4 linked regions of the Rattus norvegicus genome follow. The main gene of each other region encodes a partner of the protein of the gene in region 3 in a complex. Links are inferred from orthologs where the notes say so. Each region holds a gene or a part of one and is shown on either strand. Other genes may lie near its edges.

Evidence for each region.
Region 1: the proteins of Med25 (region 3) and Med16 are in contact, whole or in part, in a cryo-EM structure (PDB 7EMF), measured with the Homo sapiens proteins. The link is inferred for Rattus norvegicus from reciprocal best matches to the Homo sapiens genes MED25 and MED16. Residues at the interface, in NP_112235.2 of Homo sapiens: Ala26, Asn27, Gly29, Pro30, Tyr31, Val74, Asp75, Cys76, Ala77, Pro78, Glu79, Val82, Cys84, His85, Pro87, Lys102, Phe103, Met104, Gly105, Gly106, Gly107, Gly108, Glu109, Thr120, Gln123, Leu124, Asp127, Phe128, Tyr151, Leu152; in NP_005472.2 of Homo sapiens: Cys41, Arg42, Ser92, Ser94, His113, Arg161, Lys163, Phe171, Gly172, Gly173, Lys174, Pro195, Gly485, Tyr486, Ala516, Ala517, Gln520, Val521, Thr524, Arg525, Ile554, Ala555, Ser558, Lys561, Ser562, Leu563, Leu564, Arg565, Pro566, His567.
Region 2: Med25 (region 3) and Med31 share a complex: the UniProt entries of both Homo sapiens proteins name them as parts of the mediator complex. The link is inferred for Rattus norvegicus from reciprocal best matches to the Homo sapiens genes MED25 and MED31.
Region 4: Med25 (region 3) and Med19 share a complex: the UniProt entries of both Homo sapiens proteins name them as parts of the mediator complex. The link is inferred for Rattus norvegicus from reciprocal best matches to the Homo sapiens genes MED25 and MED19.

What each region holds. Positions count from the first base shown.
Region 1 is NC_086025.1:10,447,731-10,452,577, forward strand, and holds the start of Med16 (mediator of RNA polymerase II transcription subunit 16), read left to right. Parts: upstream 1-1,542; 5' UTR 1,543-1,597; coding exon 1,598-1,675; intron 1,676-1,857; exon of another isoform or gene 1,858-2,002; intron 2,003-2,441; exon of another isoform or gene 2,442-2,517; coding exon 2,518-2,683; intron 2,684-3,042; coding exon 3,043-3,150; intron 3,151-3,335; coding exon 3,336-3,505; intron 3,506-4,847. UniProt on the Homo sapiens protein: Component of the Mediator complex, a coactivator involved in the regulated transcription of nearly all RNA polymerase II-dependent genes.
Region 2 is NC_086028.1:57,335,585-57,340,493, forward strand, and holds the start of Med31 (mediator of RNA polymerase II transcription subunit 31), read right to left. Parts: upstream 3,306-4,909; 5' UTR 3,250-3,305; coding exon 3,222-3,249; intron 2,332-3,221; coding exon 2,254-2,331; intron 1,981-2,253; coding exon 1,884-1,980; intron 291-1,883; coding exon 98-290; 3' UTR 1-97. Other genes in the region: C10h17orf100 (uncharacterized protein C17orf100 homolog), read left to right, coding at 3,602-4,003. UniProt on the Homo sapiens protein: Component of the Mediator complex, a coactivator involved in the regulated transcription of nearly all RNA polymerase II-dependent genes.
Region 3 is NC_086019.1:104,498,619-104,502,321, forward strand, and holds part of Med25 (mediator of RNA polymerase II transcription subunit 25), read right to left. Parts: intron 2,281-3,703; coding exon 2,092-2,280; exon of another isoform or gene 1,828-2,091; intron 1,822-1,827; coding exon 1,750-1,821; intron 1,653-1,749; coding exon 1,434-1,652; intron 1,288-1,433; coding exon 1,110-1,287; intron 698-1,109; coding exon of another isoform or gene 600-697; exon of another isoform or gene 567-599; intron 1-566. UniProt on the Homo sapiens protein: Component of the Mediator complex, a coactivator involved in the regulated transcription of nearly all RNA polymerase II-dependent genes.
Region 4 is NC_086021.1:90,167,402-90,172,133, reverse strand, and holds the start of Med19 (mediator of RNA polymerase II transcription subunit 19), read right to left. Parts: upstream 3,306-4,732; 5' UTR 3,262-3,305; coding exon 3,045-3,261; exon of another isoform or gene 2,856-3,044; intron 1-2,855. Other genes in the region: Tmx2 (thioredoxin-related transmembrane protein 2 precursor), read left to right, coding at 3,667-3,855. UniProt on the Homo sapiens protein: Component of the Mediator complex, a coactivator involved in the regulated transcription of nearly all RNA polymerase II-dependent genes.

The sequences.
Region 1 (4,847 bases), on a different chromosome or scaffold from region 3:
CTTTTGTTTTGTGTGTGTGTGTGTGTGTGTGTTTGCGCGCGCGCGCGTGTGTGTGTGTGTGTTTGCGCGTGTGTGTGAGAGTGCGTGCGAGCACATGTATGCACGCCATGTGCCCGTGAACCTGGACAAGCTTCGTCCCAAGGGCTCATTTTATGCTTTCTTTTTTGGTGACGTGTGTATTATGTCCCCAGCTCCCTGCCTGCCTTTCAGACGGTCCCCTCTCCTCCTCCTCCCTTACACCAGGGGTCCAGGACTTCCAGCCAGAAGCCTCTGACCTTGTGTACCCTGTCCCCCTCCTCTGTCCCCTCTGCTGCCTGGCGTAGCTGTGGTCACGCAGAGTCCTCCCTTCCCCTTCCGTGTGACTCTTTGTGCTTGGGGAAAGGGACACTTTTAATAAAGCCTTGGTGCTCGGGCCTGCTGTGTGCTTATTTTTGGGGTTGGTGGGGTGGGAGAGATGAGACTAGGTCACTGAGGCTGGAGATCTGGACGTGGAGGAACCTCAAGTCTTGATGCGTTAGTTCATTTTACAACATGTAAAATGCATAAAGATGGGTGCCAGGCTGGGGTTTGGTGGGGAAAGCATTGGCTACCATGCTCAAAGCCCTGGTCCCATCTCCAATACCACATAAACCGTTACATGTGACCAATGGGTCAAGTGAGTTTCAGGCCAGCCTGGGCCATATGGGACAGACAAGTCTGATGTTGGACACCTTCAATCCCAGCACTCAGGAGCCAGAGGCTGATGGATATCTGAGTGCAAGGTCTACATAGCCAGGGCCACACAGTGACCCTGCCTCATACAAACAAAAGCCACTTGAGGGCCAACAAAATGGCTAAGCGGGTTAAGGTGCTTGCTGGCAAGTTCAGCAATCTGAGGAAGGAAAGAACTAATTCCGGGTCCTTTGACCTGCACTGTGGCAGGCATGTCACCCCCACCCCCCACCCCCACCCCCACCCCCACCCCCACCCCCACCCCCACCCCCACCCCCACCCCCACCCCCACCCCCAACGGTGTAAGTAAGTCCATGGCCAGGTGATGCACTTCTGACACCCCAGCAGGTAGAAGCTGTTACAGGAGAACCTCATCAGTGGGAGGCCAACCTGAGCTACAATGAGCCCTTCTGTCGAGAAACAAAATGGGAAAAACGTGTGCGGGCCTTCGTAGGACGTTATGCTGTATGCCAGTTATGCTGTATGCCAGTTCCTCTGAGAGGGCAAAATATGGAACGCTTCACGAATTTGCGTGTCATCCTTGCGCAGGGGCCATGCTAATCTTCTCTGTATCGTTCCAATTTTAGTATATGTGCTGCCGAAGCGAGCACGAACTACGGGCTTACCCAAGACATATTTATAGGCTCAAAATTGAGCTACTTCGCACTTAGGGTGAGTTTTCTCTGAAGGAATAGTATTTGTCCTGCTTATATAGTTAAGCCTTTCTATAAGATCTAGCCAATCATTCGAAAGAACAGATTATTTGTCTTTTATCGCACGTGTAGCCTCAATAATTACTAGGAAATTATTATATGCAAATTAACCGGGGCAGGGGCGTAGTCCGGTTCCCAGAAGTCTGTTCGAGGGGGCCGGCGCGGGCCGAGAAATGGCGGCGCCGGATCCCGGGCGTTGGGGCGAGTGTGGACCGCGGCCGCCCGGTCGGCTGGGCGCCCGGGGCGGACAGGTCAGTGCGGAGTGCGGGGTATGGGACTCCTGGCTGGTGCATTTCTGGCTTGGCCCGCGAGCGGAAGGCCGAGGGGCGGGGCCTGCGGGGTCAGAGGGCGGGCCTGGGAACAAAGCTTGCTGGGTAGAGGCCGGTGAGGGGGAGATGTGATTAGGTTCCCCGCTTAAGGTGAAGCCTGAGGCAACTAGGCTGGGGAGGGGGCGTGGTCCGAGGGGCTGAGACTCCCTGGGAGGGGCGTGGCCTGAGGTTCCGAAGTTGAGCGAAGGGGCGGAGCCTGAAGCAATAAGTCTGATAGAGAAGGCGGTGGGCTAAGGAGCGGAGCCTAAGGTGGGTCGGGGTTAGGGACTGAAGATCTGAGACTGATGCAGAGGGGTTGGTGACCTGATAGTCACAAACTGAAGAGAAGCGGGGGATGAATAAAGTTAGTAGTTTTGTTTGGAAGCAGAGCCTAGTGTGATTAGATAGTGTGGGTGGAGCTTAACGAGCTTGGGCGGGACGCGGTGAAGCACGTGTGTTAAGCCTCAGGTGGGCCTTGGATGTTAACTTATTGCGAGTGGGACTAATGGGCTGGGACGCGGCCTGAGCTACTAGGTTCCGGGGCAAGTCTCTGGAGTGTAGACTGAGGCCCAGACTGAAGTGGTAGGAGTGGGCCTGGTTGTGTGTGTGAGGGTGCTTAGCACTTGTAGGCTGAGCTCACAGCGATCTGGGTGGGTGATAGGTGGCCTAGGGAGGGGTGACCTCAGGTGGGGCATCATGGAATTTCTAGCAGGGCTCGAGCTGGAGAACATTCTAGACCCACTTTAGCCGGGAGCTGCTATAGAGCATGCCTCCCTTCTCCCCAGGAGCCAGGGACGGTGCTGGGTGCGGTGGGTATGATGGACCTAGCCTATGTGTGCGAATGGGAGAAGTGGGCCAAGAGCACGTACTGCCCGTCGCTGCCCCTGGCCTGCGCCTGGTCCTGCAGGAACCTCATTGCCTTCACCACAGACCTACGCAATGATGACCAGGGTAAGTGCTAGTTCTGTTTCCCTGACTGGGACCTGGGGATTGAGACCAAGTGGGTGGGCTGTGATTTCCTCATACAATGGGTCCCGATTTGGTAGGTTCATGGTGGCAGAGCCAGGCTCTCCATTGCCAGCTACAGGGTTTAGAGAGGCCTGGGAAAGCAAGGTGGGAGAAGAGACATCCACACTTTGGTCACCATCCTCCAAATCTAGTGATAGTGCCTCTGGAGAGACACTGGCTGCACTGGATACCCTGTGTAGGGATTAGCAGCATGGGGGAGGGGTGTTATAGGAGAGGGGCAATGGGGGTGGGAATCATGGGCACTGTGGACCACACTGACCTCAGTGTTCTCTTTCCTGCAGACCTCACACACATGATTCATATCCTTGACACAGAACATCCCTGGGAAGTGCACTCTGTCAGCTCTGGCCACAGTGAGGCCATCACCTGCCTGGAATGGGACCAGTCAGGTGAGGCCATGAGGTTTGCTCTCAATCCAAAGCCCAGGACAGCATATGCCACCTTCCTCAGTCATCAGTCCTAAGTCTGGAGCCTGGGGACAGCCACTGCCCACTGGGAGTCCAGAGTGGGGAGGGGACACCGAGCAGTTTACCTGCCCATCAGAAGGGCTCCTGACACAGCTCTTTCATCACAGGGTCCCGGCTCCTGTCTGCCGATGCTGACGGGCAGATCAAATGTTGGAGCATGGCTGACCACCTGGCCAACAGCTGGGAGAGCTCCGTGGGCAGCCAGGTGGAAGGGGACCCCATCGTGGCTCTGTCCTGGCTGCATAACGGGGTGAAACTGGCACTGCACGTAGAGAAGGTGAGTGTACCACTGGGGGACCAAGGGGTACATGGAACGGAACCAGGGGCTGGCATGTGCTGTGAGTACCTGTGGGTTACTGCTGTCCCCGAGAGCCTCTAACCCTGAGCCTCCCTTTCAGCTATGGCCCCTGGACAGGGAGTCTGTTTAACAGATGTCTGCGTCTGCAGTGCTGTCTTACAAACATCCTCAGACCCCAGAATCCTCCTGTCTGTCTATATTCTGGAGTTCAGCCACTTAGGAGCGGGGACAGAGTTGGACTCTAAGTCCTTTTCCCTTAGTAAGGGAGGGGAAGTGGCAGCCTGTGGGTCAGGAAGCACAACCAAAATTCAGTTCCATGATTGCTACAGGTTTTTGGAGCCTAACGGCTTTCACATTGCCTCTCATCCCCAATTCTAGTACTTAGGAGGCAGACAGCTCTCTCTGAGCTCAAGACCAGCCTGGTCTACATATCCAGGTCCAGGGCAGCCAGGGCTACACAGTGATACTTGTTCTCCAAATTTAATGTAAGGGCTAGAGAGGTAGGTGGCTCAGTGGTAGGAGTACCAGCTGCTCCTGCAGAGGACCTGGGTACATTCCCAGCCCCTCCATGGCGACTCACAGCCATCTGTAACTCCAGCTCCAAGGGACTCCGTGGGCATAAGCTCTTTGCAACCTAGTCCTCTAGCCCAGCAGAGGCAGCGGAAGAGAAAAGCTGTTAGGCTATGGGGGAAGTGGACCTGATGAGCAGTAGCTCTTTGAGGGTGAGCTAGCAGTGGTTCAGTCCCGCAGCAAACACCAAATAGGACTTAGCAGGCAGACACCAGGCACGAACCAGCAGCTGTAGTTCAATCCTGAAGAAAAACACCAGGAACCTCAGGAGCAGTTCTTGGCTGACTTTCTCTCAGTGACAGCGTTACCACAGCATTGAGCTCAACGATGCCATGTAAGGTAAACTAATGCATGCGTGTCTTTAGTGAAGAATCGTGAGGCAGAGCAAATCAAACCACAGCTCAGTGCCCGTCTCCCACTGTCTGTGAGGTCATAGTTCTACTCCTTCATTGTGGGTTCTTTACCATGTTTGCTATAGCAAATCATCCTTTCCCCCGTGTCTGCTTTAGCGAGACATCCTTTCTCCTGTTTGCTCCATCCAAACATCATTTGCCATAACTAACTTTCCAAAGAACTAGAAGTTCCCACTTGAGGACCCTACACCTTTCTCTGACACCCACAGACACCTCAACCCAGGGTAAATGCAACTCATCTTTTGCTGTCGTCGTTCTGGTTTTTAAGACAGGGTTTCTCAGTGTAGCCCAGGCTGTCCTAGAACTTGCTCTGTAGACTGGGCTACATTCAAACTCAG
Region 2 (4,909 bases), on a different chromosome or scaffold from region 3:
CTGAGTACTACAATAAAGGGGGCAGCAGTCTTTCTCTCTGTACTGTACAATAGCAGTGCATTATATACATGTCCTAGAGCCTGCTGTTGCCAGCTCTTCATTTTCCTGCTGTGGTATTCTGCTGCTGCTGCTCTGCTAGGGCTTGCTGAAGACGCATCCGCTTCCTCGAATAGTGCTGCCAGTGCAGAATCTGCTGTTCGTCAATGAACTTCGCACACTGAGCATTCACCAGCTCCTTTCGAAAGTGTTCATATTGGAGCAGTTCTAACATATGCAAACACTGAGGGTACCTGGGTTTAAGTTCATAAGTCAATTATCAACATAATTTAAGGCATCCCAAGTTCTAAATCAGATACTCCCCTAAAAATGATCTCAAGCCCACCATTTCTACTACTATGGTACCTTTGGTAAAATCACTCCTACCATGTTATTCAGAACATTATGCAAGATATAGTGGAGTTATTTCACAACTTCTCTCGAATTTAAACATCTATAGCTGTTACCTCCAAGAGGACACAGATGAACAGAATAAGGAACAAGCCTACAAACGGCTTAGAGCTACAAGGAGGTGTATTTGATCAGAGTATATAAGAAGAGCTCCCTTACCTCTGGCTATCAATGGAGTAAGCTGCCTCTAATAGTAGAGGGACCTATGATCATAGGGAGCCTCCAACAGAGCGGAGACAATCATCTTTCAACAGCTGGGCTGGAGAGACTGAGCTTGAAGGTGGCTAAAAGTTTGCTAACATGTAACATGTTATACTTTTCTTTCTTTTTTTTTTTTTCTTTTTTTTTTTTTTCTCGGAGCTGGGGACTGAACCCAGGGCCTTGTGCTTCCTAGGCAAGCGCTCTACCACTGAGCTAAATCCCCAACCCCATACTTTTCTAATAGTAATTTCAAGCCTATCATTTGGATTCCTAGAGGAATCTAGAATTGCATCATGAAGAGCAAATCTACAGGCAGCCCAGGAATCAAGTCAGAAAAATGACTACGATTAAAAAAAAAAAAAAGGTTTGAAATGTTTTCCTCTAATTTTTAAAATAGGGTCTCTCTGTGTGGCCCTGAATGGCCTGAAGCTTGCAACATAATCAGGCTGGCCTCAAATTCACGGAGATCTGCCTGACTCTGCCTCTTGAGAGCTGGGATTAAAGGGACACCAAGCTACTTCTGGGGTTTTTGTTGTTGTCCCCTCCTTTGGGGCAGTGTCTAGACAGGGTTTACCTGGGTAGAGTGGCTGTCCTGGAAGCAGCTCTGGCCTTGAACTCACACATGCGCCCGCCTCTGCCTCCCAAATGTTGGGATTAAAGCCAGCTTGGCTTTCTTTTCTCTTTTTAAGTCAAAGCAGAGTTTGATGTGATATTGTTGTGTCTGTTCTTTTACAGTGAGTTAATACGCACAGTGATTGAAACAAAGGACACCACAAAGAAAGGCAGGACCTCTAAGACTCTCAGGAAACAGTTCTTCCTACCGTCACAGGTTATGGGTTGTTAGGCCTCAAAACCCCAGAAAGACAGGGGCAGTGCTAAGTGACATGGTTAGACACGACCAAATTACATTAGAACTGTAGTCTACAACAGTTCACTGGATCTTAGCCTGCACGAACAGTATGCTCTGACTTACACTGCCAAGAGAGTAAGCTGGCTCCCACGTAGACAGTTCTTTGGTTTTGTTTGAAGGGAGTGAGGTAAGAATGGTAGCAGAAATAAATGAAATTCCTGTCATAATCAACCCAAGTTAGAGATAACAGCGTCTTACATCAACTAAAAGCAGAAAGATCCCAAATGCTGTTTTCCATTCTGACACCGAGAAAACTGCTAAATAATAGCACTTAGTATTTATAATAAAGTACACACAGCTTTGGGATTTTAAAAATTAAACTTACTTTAGATATTTGGCATATTCTGGTTCTTTCCAGTAAAGCAAGTACTTAAGATAATTAACAAAAGCTTTGTCTTTGAAGTAACCTCTTTGGGCGAGAACTGAAAGACACAAAGAAACACTCTGTATGTCAACCACTGCTGGGCTGCTGATCTGTAATCTCTTAAGTAAAGTAGCTCTTCTTAACATCCCTACCGACAAAACACAAGGGATTAAAAAACACAAGCCCTTGTTTGCTCAGTTGATACTTACAGACCAGCACAAGTAAAACCCCAAACACATCGAAGTAAATAAATACTATTACAAATTGCATCTCTTCTCAGAAACCATTAAGATCTAGTGAGCTACTTAAGTTAATGATGTACTTAACTTACAATTAAGGTAATTTGGGTTGGCTAAACATTGCACAAATTCCAACTCCAACTGAAACCGAAGTCGATTTCCAGCATCATCTAGGAGAAAAGACAGTAAAAAAAAAAAGAGAAAGAAGGAAGGAACGATCACCCAAAATAAAAGTCACAATACAAACATTGATTTGTAGAAACAAAAATAAAACGCAGGTCAAACAGCTCAGCAAGTAAAGGTGCTTGCTGCAAAGTCTGATGACCTGAGTTCGATTCCTGGAACCTACAGGGTTGTAGGAAGACAACCGATTTCTGCAAGTTGTCCTCTAACCTTGGCATGCACCGCCGCTCACCCCCATAAACACACACACACATGCACACTCATGAATGAACTCAAATATCAAAGTGTGGAAGAAACTTCCTTAGAAATTTAGTTTAATTCACTACTTAGTGAGCCCTGTTTCCAAAACAAAAATAGTAATAAAAAAATCCTTTAAAGTTCGTTGAGGAAAAAATATGTAGAACCTGTACGCCACTGTGGAAGGACGTGAGCGGAGATTATCGGATAGTCTGCAATAGCTGTACGGTTCCCTATGTTGTTATAACCACAACTAATTACGTTAAGCAAAAACAAAGTGCTACACAAAAACGAAGCAGGAATGATTAAACAATGGAGAGAAGACGGTGATATGCATTAGAATACACAGGTTACCGACATTTCAGGCAAGTTTGGAGAAGTTCCAAAGAGCAGACAGTGGAAGGTCTCAGTCCTTTCTATGCGCCCCGGCCCGCCCCGCGAGTCAGGGTTGGAGTAGGGGTTAGAGCAACACAGGAGCAAAGTTGGTCCTACAGGCCATATTCTGGGGGGCAACACCGCCTTCTCCTCCGCCGGTCCCAACTCTAAGGATGAGGAGTTGAGCCCGGAAGACGGCGCAGGGGAAGGGAAACGGGAGAGGATTTTGGGGCGAAGGACCATTCCCGTGCAAAACACAACGCACCTGTCTCCATAGCGACGGCCGCGGCCATAGCAAGCAGAAAGGCGCAAACACTACCAACCCGACCCAACCGCAGCCCGGATTGGTGAAGGAGAATCCGGAAGTCACGGGTCCTACTTCCGGTCGCGGGGCAGAGTGGGACACGAGGGCGGGGACAACTTCACTTTGGGGAAGAGTGGCCCCGCCCATCTGTGCGGACCGGGCCGACTGCGCGCGCAGATATCGAGCGGGGCGTGCCGGAGGGCTTCTCTGATTTCAGGTCTGAGTCCTGCTGCCTACTCTGATGTAATACACCTCTCTGACGTCACCTTCCCCCGGGTGGCGTGACGCAGAGCATGATCCTTGGGCTTCTTTGTTCCTCCTGACCAAAGTGTACGGGCAGGATGGCCTCGCCCCTTAGGAGCAAGTCCTCCGTCCCGCGAGTGGAAAGCACCCGCCACAAGGAGACATCGACTGTCCGCATGGAGACGTCGTCCCACCGCGAGGAAACGTCATCCCACCGCGTGGAGACGTCCTCCCGGCAGGTTCTAACGTCTTCCCGGCAAGTGGAGACCTCCCAGCGCCACCGAGAGGGACCCTCCCTCACCCCCTCCGCGAAGCGACTCCCTCAATTCCTCGAGGTGTCCTCCCAGCACGTGGAAACCTCCTCGCAGTGCATGGAAACGTCCTCCCGCCACGTCAGGGCGTCGTCATCCCTGCGGGTGGAGACTACTGTGCACCGCGTAGAGAGCCCAGCCAGGCGAGACAAGCAAGCCACTCGGCAGAGTGCCAGAATGACTCGATGAAGTGCCATGGTCCTTAGCCAGGACTGAGGAATTGCCAGCCAGCTTCCAGGAGAGCCAAGTATCTTTGGTTTCATGGAAACAGCCCATAAAACAGTGTAAGAAGCAGGCTGTGGTTTCTGGGCACTGTTAACATGTATTGACATTGCAGCACCTTAGTCCATCCTGCTGTTGACCCAGCGTACTATTAACCTGAAGCCAGCACAGAAAGGTTTCCGATTTGTAGTACTGTGTAAACCCAGACGATGGACAAAGAGATTCTTTGAGTCTCTACACCAGGTAAGTTTTATAGTCTTAGGTCCCTCTAGAATGTGTTGACGACTTGAAATCTGCGAAGAGGGGCCAGATTTGTCATGTTTCTTGACTACTGGCCTGATCATATACCTGCTTGAAACCTACAGAGCAAGGCATCATCTTTCACAAATTGTTAATTACCCTTTAATAATATTTATATTTCATAATAAGTTTTCTCGTGTTAAGTTGTTATACACAGTATTCCATCTACACTTTAAAAAATAGGTCAGGAGCTATTAGAAAAATAAGGGCAGGGCAATTGAGAAAAAAAAATACTAATCTTGGGAGGGAACGTGAAGAAGCAGCCATGACACTTGGTCTGGGGCGTGAGATTGGCAGAGGATGGTTACTGAGTACCTACAGCATGCTTGGTACCAGTCAGAACTTGTCGGCTATAGCAGTGGAAAAGACTAAGATCTTCTCAAGTGAAGAGAAAGTAAGACGATGTTCTGTTGTATTCCTGTGAAAGATAAGGTATCTATCTTGTGGTAGCGAGTAGGGCGCTCTTTCGAGAACATGGTCAGGGAAAGCCTTGCTGATGACACTTGGTCTGAGATTGTGTGGGTTAGCAGCAAGCCATATCAGGATCTACAGGGAAGTACATTTTACACAGTA
Region 3 (3,703 bases):
ACCCTGACTGCTACGGCCTCAAGCACAGAACACATTCCCGTGGGGACATCCTGATTTCCTGGTGTGGCACGTGCCACTTAGGCACCCCCATTCCCTCTTGCTTGCCCTGCTCCTACAAACCATCGCACCTTCCTGACACCCAGCCCTACTGGCAGTCTATGCAGTCCTGCATCCCCAGGACCAATCTCCAGCTTCCCAGTCTGGACTCTGCAGCTCCGGCTCCTTCCTGAAATGCTCATCCCAGGAGCGTCCACCTCCTGGCCCTGCACGCCCCTTTTCTGTGGCTTTGGCTATCTGCACCTAGGTCCCTTCTGGCTCCCAATTACTGCTTCTCCTTCCAGGCTCCTCGGAACCCTGGCTGGGTCAGAGGCATTCTGGGCTCCATAACCCCTTAAGTGCACGTGAGCTGTACACTACCTGCCCACCTGCCTCCAAGTCTCGCAGAACCAGGCACACCATGCTGCCTCCAACTCACCCCAGGGCCCAGCATCACCCAGCCGGGGCCTTGGGGAGTCTGCAAGGCGAGAGCAAAGACTGCCCTAGGGGTGTCAGTGACGGGAGCCGGGCATTGTTAAAAGGAACTTTATTGGGTGTTGGGTTCAGATGAGGTCCATGAGGATGTCGTCCTCCATGACGCTGGGCTGCAGGCCCGGCTGGGGAACCGGGCCCCGGGGACCCCCGCTCAGCAGCATCTGACCTGGGGGGCATCGGGAAGGGACTGCATCTCCCAGTGGTCCCTGGGGCCATTGAGGGCCCTAGGCCTCTCATCCCACTTCCTCTGAGAACCCAAGGCAGTAAGGTTTCTAGGAAGCTCCAGGGAACACCAGAGGTCCTTCTAAGCCCAACTGGATATAGACACTTTTCTAACCCTTCGGGAGCCCTTCCCCCACACGCATCGCTTCACTAACCCTAAGACATCTTCCAGCACCCCAGGACAGAATATAAGGTTTGTGGGAAGTTTCCACCACTGAAGCCTTGCTCCTGTACTGAACTTCCCAATGGCCCTTTAAGTCCCCTTGAGCTATGGGAGGCCCTTTGGTAATAGGGTCCTTAACAGTGACTTCAGGGACTCCCACTCTAGAACCCTGCCCTCCCCTGGAGCCCCTTACCTGGCAGTGGCGCCCTCTGGGGTAGCTGTGTGGGCCAAGACTGGGTAGGTGGAGGGTGCAGGAGTTGCGGCCCTAGCTGCGGCTGCCCCAGGCTCTGATGTGGCGGCAGCAATGCAGGGGCCCCTGGAGGCTGGAGGTGGTGTAGGGAGGCCTGGGGTGGGGGTACCCCAGTCTGGGGCTGAGTGAAGAAGACAAAGAATGACTCAGAGGACCCAGTCTAAACTCCAGGAAGGTCCTCCACCCTGGGAGCCTTGTCCACCACTTCCTCCCAGAAACACTGGGTGAGAACCTGCCATTCCCTGCTGCTTTAATCCCAAGCCTCACCGGTGCTGGATTAAGGAGAAGGCTCCGCAGCTGGGGGTTGGCTCCAGGGTTCTGGGGTCGAAGGATGGGTCCAGAAGGAGGTGGGCCAGGGGCTGCTCCAGGAGGACCTTGGGGTGCCCCTGTTGGGGCCTGGGTAGTACCTTGGGGCTGGGGCTGCCCTGTAGCCGCAGAAGCTCCCACAGCACCCTGAGGCTGAGGCTGTGGTGCACGGAGCTGTAACTGAGGAACAGAGAGCATGAGGAAGGACAGTACAGTGGCTGCCCCAAGTCCACCCACCTCCATCCCCAACCCCACCAGTCCCCACTTCAGTCCTCACTAGATTCTGCGGGGGCCTCGCTTGGTCCTCCAGAATGGGGCCCAGGCCTGGAGGTGCCTGCTGTGCCCCCATCTGCACGGGGACAGAGAGGACAGGTCAGATGAGGGAAGGTGACTCACACTGTAGGGAGGACCTGGTGTAGAGAAGCAGGGTGCCTTTTTCTGGGGGCACACCATCTTGGAGAGGCATGACACCCTGCCTGGTTGTAAGGTGGGTCTTGTGTCAGGAATTTGAAGTGCACACTGAAAAGGGACTAAAGCTGCTCTGCTAGGGACAAGGGACTCAAAGGAGATGTCTGGAGACAGGAGGCCATGGTGACTAGCTGGCTGGGCCCGCACTCACCCCACGCTGCTGCTCTAGCTTCTGCTGCTGGACCTGCTTATGGTTGGTGATGACCTGGCGGATGCCATTGACGAAGCCACTCTGGTCGTAGGGGATGAGGCCCATGAAGATCTTCTTCTTAGACGAGTACAGGAGCATGAGCACGCGCACCTCGCACGGGGCTGTATGTGGGAAGTGCACGCAGCCGGCCTGTGGGCAGAGACGCTTCAGAAACTGCCTACCATAGGGACACCAGGATAGCCCTCCTCATTCTATAAAACCCTACAAGCCCTGTGGCAAGAGGTAGGGAGGTCTCATTTCATTGTACAGTGCTAAGGAGGGCAGGTCTGCTTGGCATCTGCCCCAGAAACAAAAACTGAGTGACAGGCAATGAACTGGGCATTCAAATGGCATAGGAAGAGTGAAGCACCCACTGACCACTGAGGAGAGGGAAGACACCAGGCCACATCAGAAACCCACGGAGACCCTGACTAGGCCCTCCACCTCCTTGTCTCACTTCTGCACAGCGCTGGACTGCCTCCCCAAATCACACTGGAAAGGGCTCTGCTGGGAAGGATGCCAGAAAGATGGGGTTAGACCCTTAAGGGTCTCTCTATCTCTCTGCCACAACATCTGCCAGCATGGATTAGGGAACAGCAACATGACATTTAGAAGTCAGAGTGCCGGGCTGGAGAGATGGCTCAGCGGTTAAGAGCACCCGACTGCTCTTCCAGAGGTCATGAGTTCAATTCCCAGCAACCACATGGTGGCTCACAACCATCTGTAAAGAGATCCGATGCCCTCTTCTGGTGTATCTGAAGACAGCTACAGTGTACTTATATATAATAAATGAATAAATCTTTAAAAAAAAAAAGAAGTCAGAGTGCCTCCTCAGACTCTCAGGGAACTGGCTTTGGCTACCTGGGTTCTCTTCTCAGGACCTAGGTTCCCTCAGCCTGCAGCTGCTGCTCATCAACACACAACCTCTCCTGTTCTGCCCAGTACAGAACAGGGCAGTGCCACCGAAGCCCGAGTGCTGGTGAATGCCCTCCCCTACAAGGGGTGCAGCCTAGTGACCCAACTCTGCCCAGATTAAAGGAGGCCTGGCCAGAGGCTTTGGGTATTTCTCATTTCCTGAAGGAGATTCCAGCCACTGCCTCTTCCGCATGCTTAGGGTACCCAGAAGCTAAGATAACTACCTTTACCTATAAGAGGTCTAGGAATGACGTCACTGAGCTCCCTGCTGGGTCCTGTTATAGCGCAGAATTCAGTGTCTACGCTGATGGGCCACACCTCTGAGGGCTCTGGGCACAGCTGAGTTTCTAACAGCACCAGCAGAATTCCAAAGTGCTTGACACCCACACACAGAGTAGGTACAGCAGACAACAATGTCACAGAGGTGAAAAGGGCCATGAGGCTGATGACCAACAGTACCCTCTGCCTGGGACAAAGCAGGCACAGAAGTCACCATGCCTAACCCCATGTGCACTTGTGTCTTCCCCAAACACAAACTGCAACTGACACCCAGGAAGGTGAGATGACTCAGAAGCCGCCTCTACGACAGTCAGAGGAGTCATGAGGGCAGGCCCTATCCAACAGTAAACAAGGGGACAGAGCAGCCAGGCTTGACTAC
Region 4 (4,732 bases), on a different chromosome or scaffold from region 3:
GAGGAATGCCAGGGCAGGGAGGCAGGAGGGGTGGGAGTGGGGAACACCCTCATAGAAGCAGGGAGAGGGGGATGGGATAGGGGGTTTATGGATGGGAAACTGGGAAAGGGAATAACATTTGAAATGTAAATAAAAAAATCCATAAAAGGGGGGGGGCATGATTCTAAAAACCAAATTTTGAATTCCCAACTCTTTCTATGTCAATTCTATGCAGATTCATTTTTTTTCCTTTCTTGAAAGTCTAAATATTGTTTACATCATTATGGCCCCTCTATTCCAAACCTGAGAACTCATGTTCTGTAGTTTTAGAAACAAAAACCAGTGGTACAGTGCTTAGGTGCTTATGTAGCTTGTGGAAGGTCTTGAGTGTGATTTTAAGCATGGGGGTGCTCTATTTAAATAACCTCTATTTAAATTCCCATGGTACTAGAATCTAATAATTTTTTAAAATTTTAAATTTTTTTTGATATAGAGTCTCTCTCTAAAGTCTTGGATGACTTGGAACTCACTAGGTAGACCAAGTTAGCCTTGAACTGAGAGATCAACCTGCCTCTTGATTTATCCTGAAAGATTTATTTTTATCCTATTTGGTGTGTGTGCGTGTGTGTGTGTGCGCGTGCGCGTGTGTGTGTGTTGTGTTGTGTGGATGTATGCCACATATTATTTGAGTGCCTATGGAGGTCAGTAGAGGGTGTTGGGATCCCTGGAGCTGGAGTTACATACAATTGTGAGGCTCCCATATGGATTATGGGAACCAAGCTTGGTCCTTTGGACAACATCAAATGTCCTTAACTGCATGACCTTAGAGTCATCTTTACAGTTCCAATGGACCTTTTCAAGGCAAGGTCTCATGTAGCCAGCAATGACCTTGGGCTCCTGATCTTCCTGTGTACATCTCCCAAGGGCTGGGATTATAGAAATATACCATCAAGCCCGGTTTGTCAAGTATGGAGAATGAATATAGAGGTCTTTATGCATGCTAAGCATGTACTCTTCCAACTAAACTACATCCCTAGCCTTCCTAATCAAATTTTATTACAACTTAACTTTGGAGCCTGATCAACTACTAATCTTCCTGCAAAATTTCTAATGTATCCAGATAGATCTACGTATCCTCTGGGTAGAAAACAGCAACAAAACTGTACCACTATTTCCTTTGAGAAAATAACTTTCTAATTTTGTTTGCCTATATAAATTCTTCAGAGTTCAGTTCAAATGACATCTTATTATTGCTGTCATTTTGGCTAACACATTTTGAAAACCATCAGGTAGTTTTAAACACTGCTTCCTGTGTGAAGCATGACTATAAAGTAGTAAACAGACACCCACAAAGATACAAGCACCATCCTTAAACCATGTATTATGGATCTCAAAAAGTAAGCTACGTAAAAACCCGGCTTAATAATCTCCCCTTCTCAGAATCCCACCATACCCAGCGTTTGCCTCGGAGATTCAGTATTTATCAACTGATTTATATATAAATGGCATAATCAGAACAGGAAATGCAAAAGATAAACTGCTGGAAGAAGCTGGGCATGGTGGCACATACCTGAAGGCTGAGATTAAGTGGATCTCTGTGAGTTCAAGGCCAGCCAAGTCTACAGTGAATTTGAGACAAGCCAGGGCTACATAGTGAGGCAAAACAACTAAAATAAGGAAAAAGAGAACTTCTGGAAGACACCTGTCATTAAAGCACATATAGTTATTTCTTTATGCTTCAGTCCTCAACTATAAAATATAATACCTATCTATCTAAAAGGGCTACATATTGTACACACCTCACTGATGTGAACTTTAAACTACTGTGCTAATAGCTAATTGGGATAACTGAACTTCTATTTTTCTTTTTTTGAAGCAGGATCTCATGTCCTCTAGGCTGGGCTGGAACTCCAGAACCTTCTGCCTTCACCTCCTGAGTGCTGGTATATAGTACCACAAGTTCCCTAAGATTTAACATATCCAGAACACCTCTTGATTTTTAGCTCTTCAAATTTTTTCTTTCCATAACTTCCTACTCTCAGACTACTATAACCTTTGTACAGAACACCCACAATTCCTCTGTTTATATTTAGTTCTTTATTTCTGTAGGCTTCACCTTTATCATGTATCCTGTATTCATTTGCTTCTCTACTGCTAAGTCCTGGTCCAAACCATTCTCTTTTAGGAACACTGATTTCTGATTACCCCATTTTCACTTATGTTTCTGCTGAATATCTTTTTAAAAAAAAAAATCACTAAATTAGCTCATTCCCCCCCCCCCCCATGTTGAAATTGACTTCAACTTGAACTTTAAACCTACATTGCCTTATAAAGGCCTCTACCTATTTTCCATCAGTACTGGAATTGTTCCTTTCCTTGAATTCAATGTGTCTTCTGCCCCTCAGATATTCTAAGCACCCCCCCCCCCATCTTCCCCTCCAAAACAGGTCTCCTGATGTAGTTTCTTCTATCTAGTATCTTCTCTCTGTCCAAGGACCGATGGCTTTGTTTATTCTTGAATGTTACCTACTCAGAGATGATTCTGTGAACACGCGCCTTATGCATGGCAGTCAAGAGTTCTACCACTGAGCCACGCCCCCCCCCAATTTTCCCGAATAACTAACTTTATGAATGTAAGAATTGATTCAATTCTAGTCCTTTCTTTGAGCGGGTTAATCTCCAAGTCCCTGACGAGGAAGGCAACTTGCTATAAACCAACAAGTTTGTGACAGACTTTAAACTAAAATCTTACTGTCTCCAGAAACGTTAAATCAGGTCTCCCGAGTTCCAAACAATGGCTCGTTTTCATAGAGTCACAAACAGCGGTTAGAGAACCCGGATCACAGAACTTCTCGCTAGAGGTAGTCCCAGATATTCACACCCAACCCAAACCCACCCCGGGAAATCAAGTTATCTTTTAGAGTTGTGAATCGCCAAAGGGCTTCTGACACTGTTGCCCACTGGCCACCCGTAGCCCTGTTATCTTACACCTTGCGCTGCAGGATGCTAGCCACAACGGTCACCTAAACTATTATCTGATTGGCTACTTTTGGCCCACTACTCACCTGGCAATTCCCGCATAAGGTAGAAGGGACCGCTTCCAGCCGTGGACTTATCCGCTCCCACGGGGGCCGAGGTCGCGGTCGAAGGTGGAGCCGTGCCTGGACCACCTCCCGGAGGAGGAGGGGGTGGCGGCGGAGGCTTTCCAGGCCCGAACCCTAGTGCGCTTGGTGGCGGTGGGGGGTCAGTTTGAGCTCCGAACAGGGCTGTGAAGTTCTCCATAGCACTCGCCGCTCTTGGTTACCCGGGATCTGGCGTTAATTACTTTCATTGGACAGCACTTTCACAGGGTACCACCCTCTTGGTTTAACAGCTTCCCATCATTGGATACGCTAAGCTCCGCCCACCATCTTCCGGCAACTTACTTCCTTTGCCCTGAGAGATTGTTCAGGTAGTGTTTCACAGACTAATAGCCAATAAAATGACTCAGGTAGAAAAGCGACAATTATGAGGACCAATAGACTATCTAATTCATTTTCCGATCTATTATAGCACCCAATAAGAGATCTACATCCGGGTCTGGAGGCGTTGCATCTGATATTTGGCCCAATAGAAGCCTTGCTGTTGGGGGCGGAGGACGACGATTTGGGGAGCGGGAGTGAGCCTGCAAGAGTGTAGGCAGGGAAGATGGCTGTCCTCGCGCCTCTGATTGCCTTGGTGTACTCGGTGCCGCGGCTTTCTCGATGGCTGGCCAGACCTTATTGCCTTCTGTCTGCCCTGCTTTCCATTGCTTTCCTCCTCGTGAGGAAGCTGCCGCCGATTTGCAACGGTCTCCCCACGCAGCGCGAAGATGGCAACCCGTGTGACTTTGACTGGGTGAGCGCCCCCTGCCTTAGTAGCTGTCGACCTTGACCATCCATCCCTGCCCTGCAGGTGCATGTGAAGATGGGAGGGCGGGTTTCGAGTGTAGCTTACACACTTGAGTGGAGAGCCTAGGCCGTTATCTAGTCCTTACCTTCGTGTTAAAGATGGAGAAACAGATTCCAGGGTTTCCATCACAGATGAACAATATTCTTCTGTGATTCCAAGTTCCTTGGGGCGCCACTGACGAAGACTAGGCCCGTGGTAGAAATACCATTTAAATTTTTCTAATTTTTAACGAAGTGATCACAGTGTAGTTAGGCGATTTTTCAAGGTAACACAGCGTTCACTAAGTGCTGTCTAACCTTAATCAATTCTCTGATAGACCGGCAGACATAGGTCACTGACTCAACAAAATAAATGACTTTGGTGGAAAAATCGTCTGCTCTGGGCATAACAACTGTGCGCACTATCTTCCTGAGGTGGGATAGGAAAACAGGGAAGGTTACAAAAATACGAGGTGGGGGGAAGCCCATCAACCATCTAAGAAGCAATATTTAAGAACAGTTAACATTTACCGTGAAGGTTGTGGACATAGAGCTAATATTTTTTTTTCATATACAGATATTTATGCTATAACAGCAATGACCAGGACTAAAGGTATTAATATAACCTTGGGTAGGCCTCACATGTTCTGGGACTCTCAAACAAGATTATTAACTTTGTTTACATTAAAGATACAATACTGTTGCGGGGCTTTGGGTTGTACCATTTTAACCCAGCACTCTAGAGACAAAGGCAGGTGACTTCTGTAAGATTGATGTAAGCCTGATCTATATAGGGCTTTCTAGATCCATCAGGACTACATAGTTAGACCCTAACTCAAAACAAA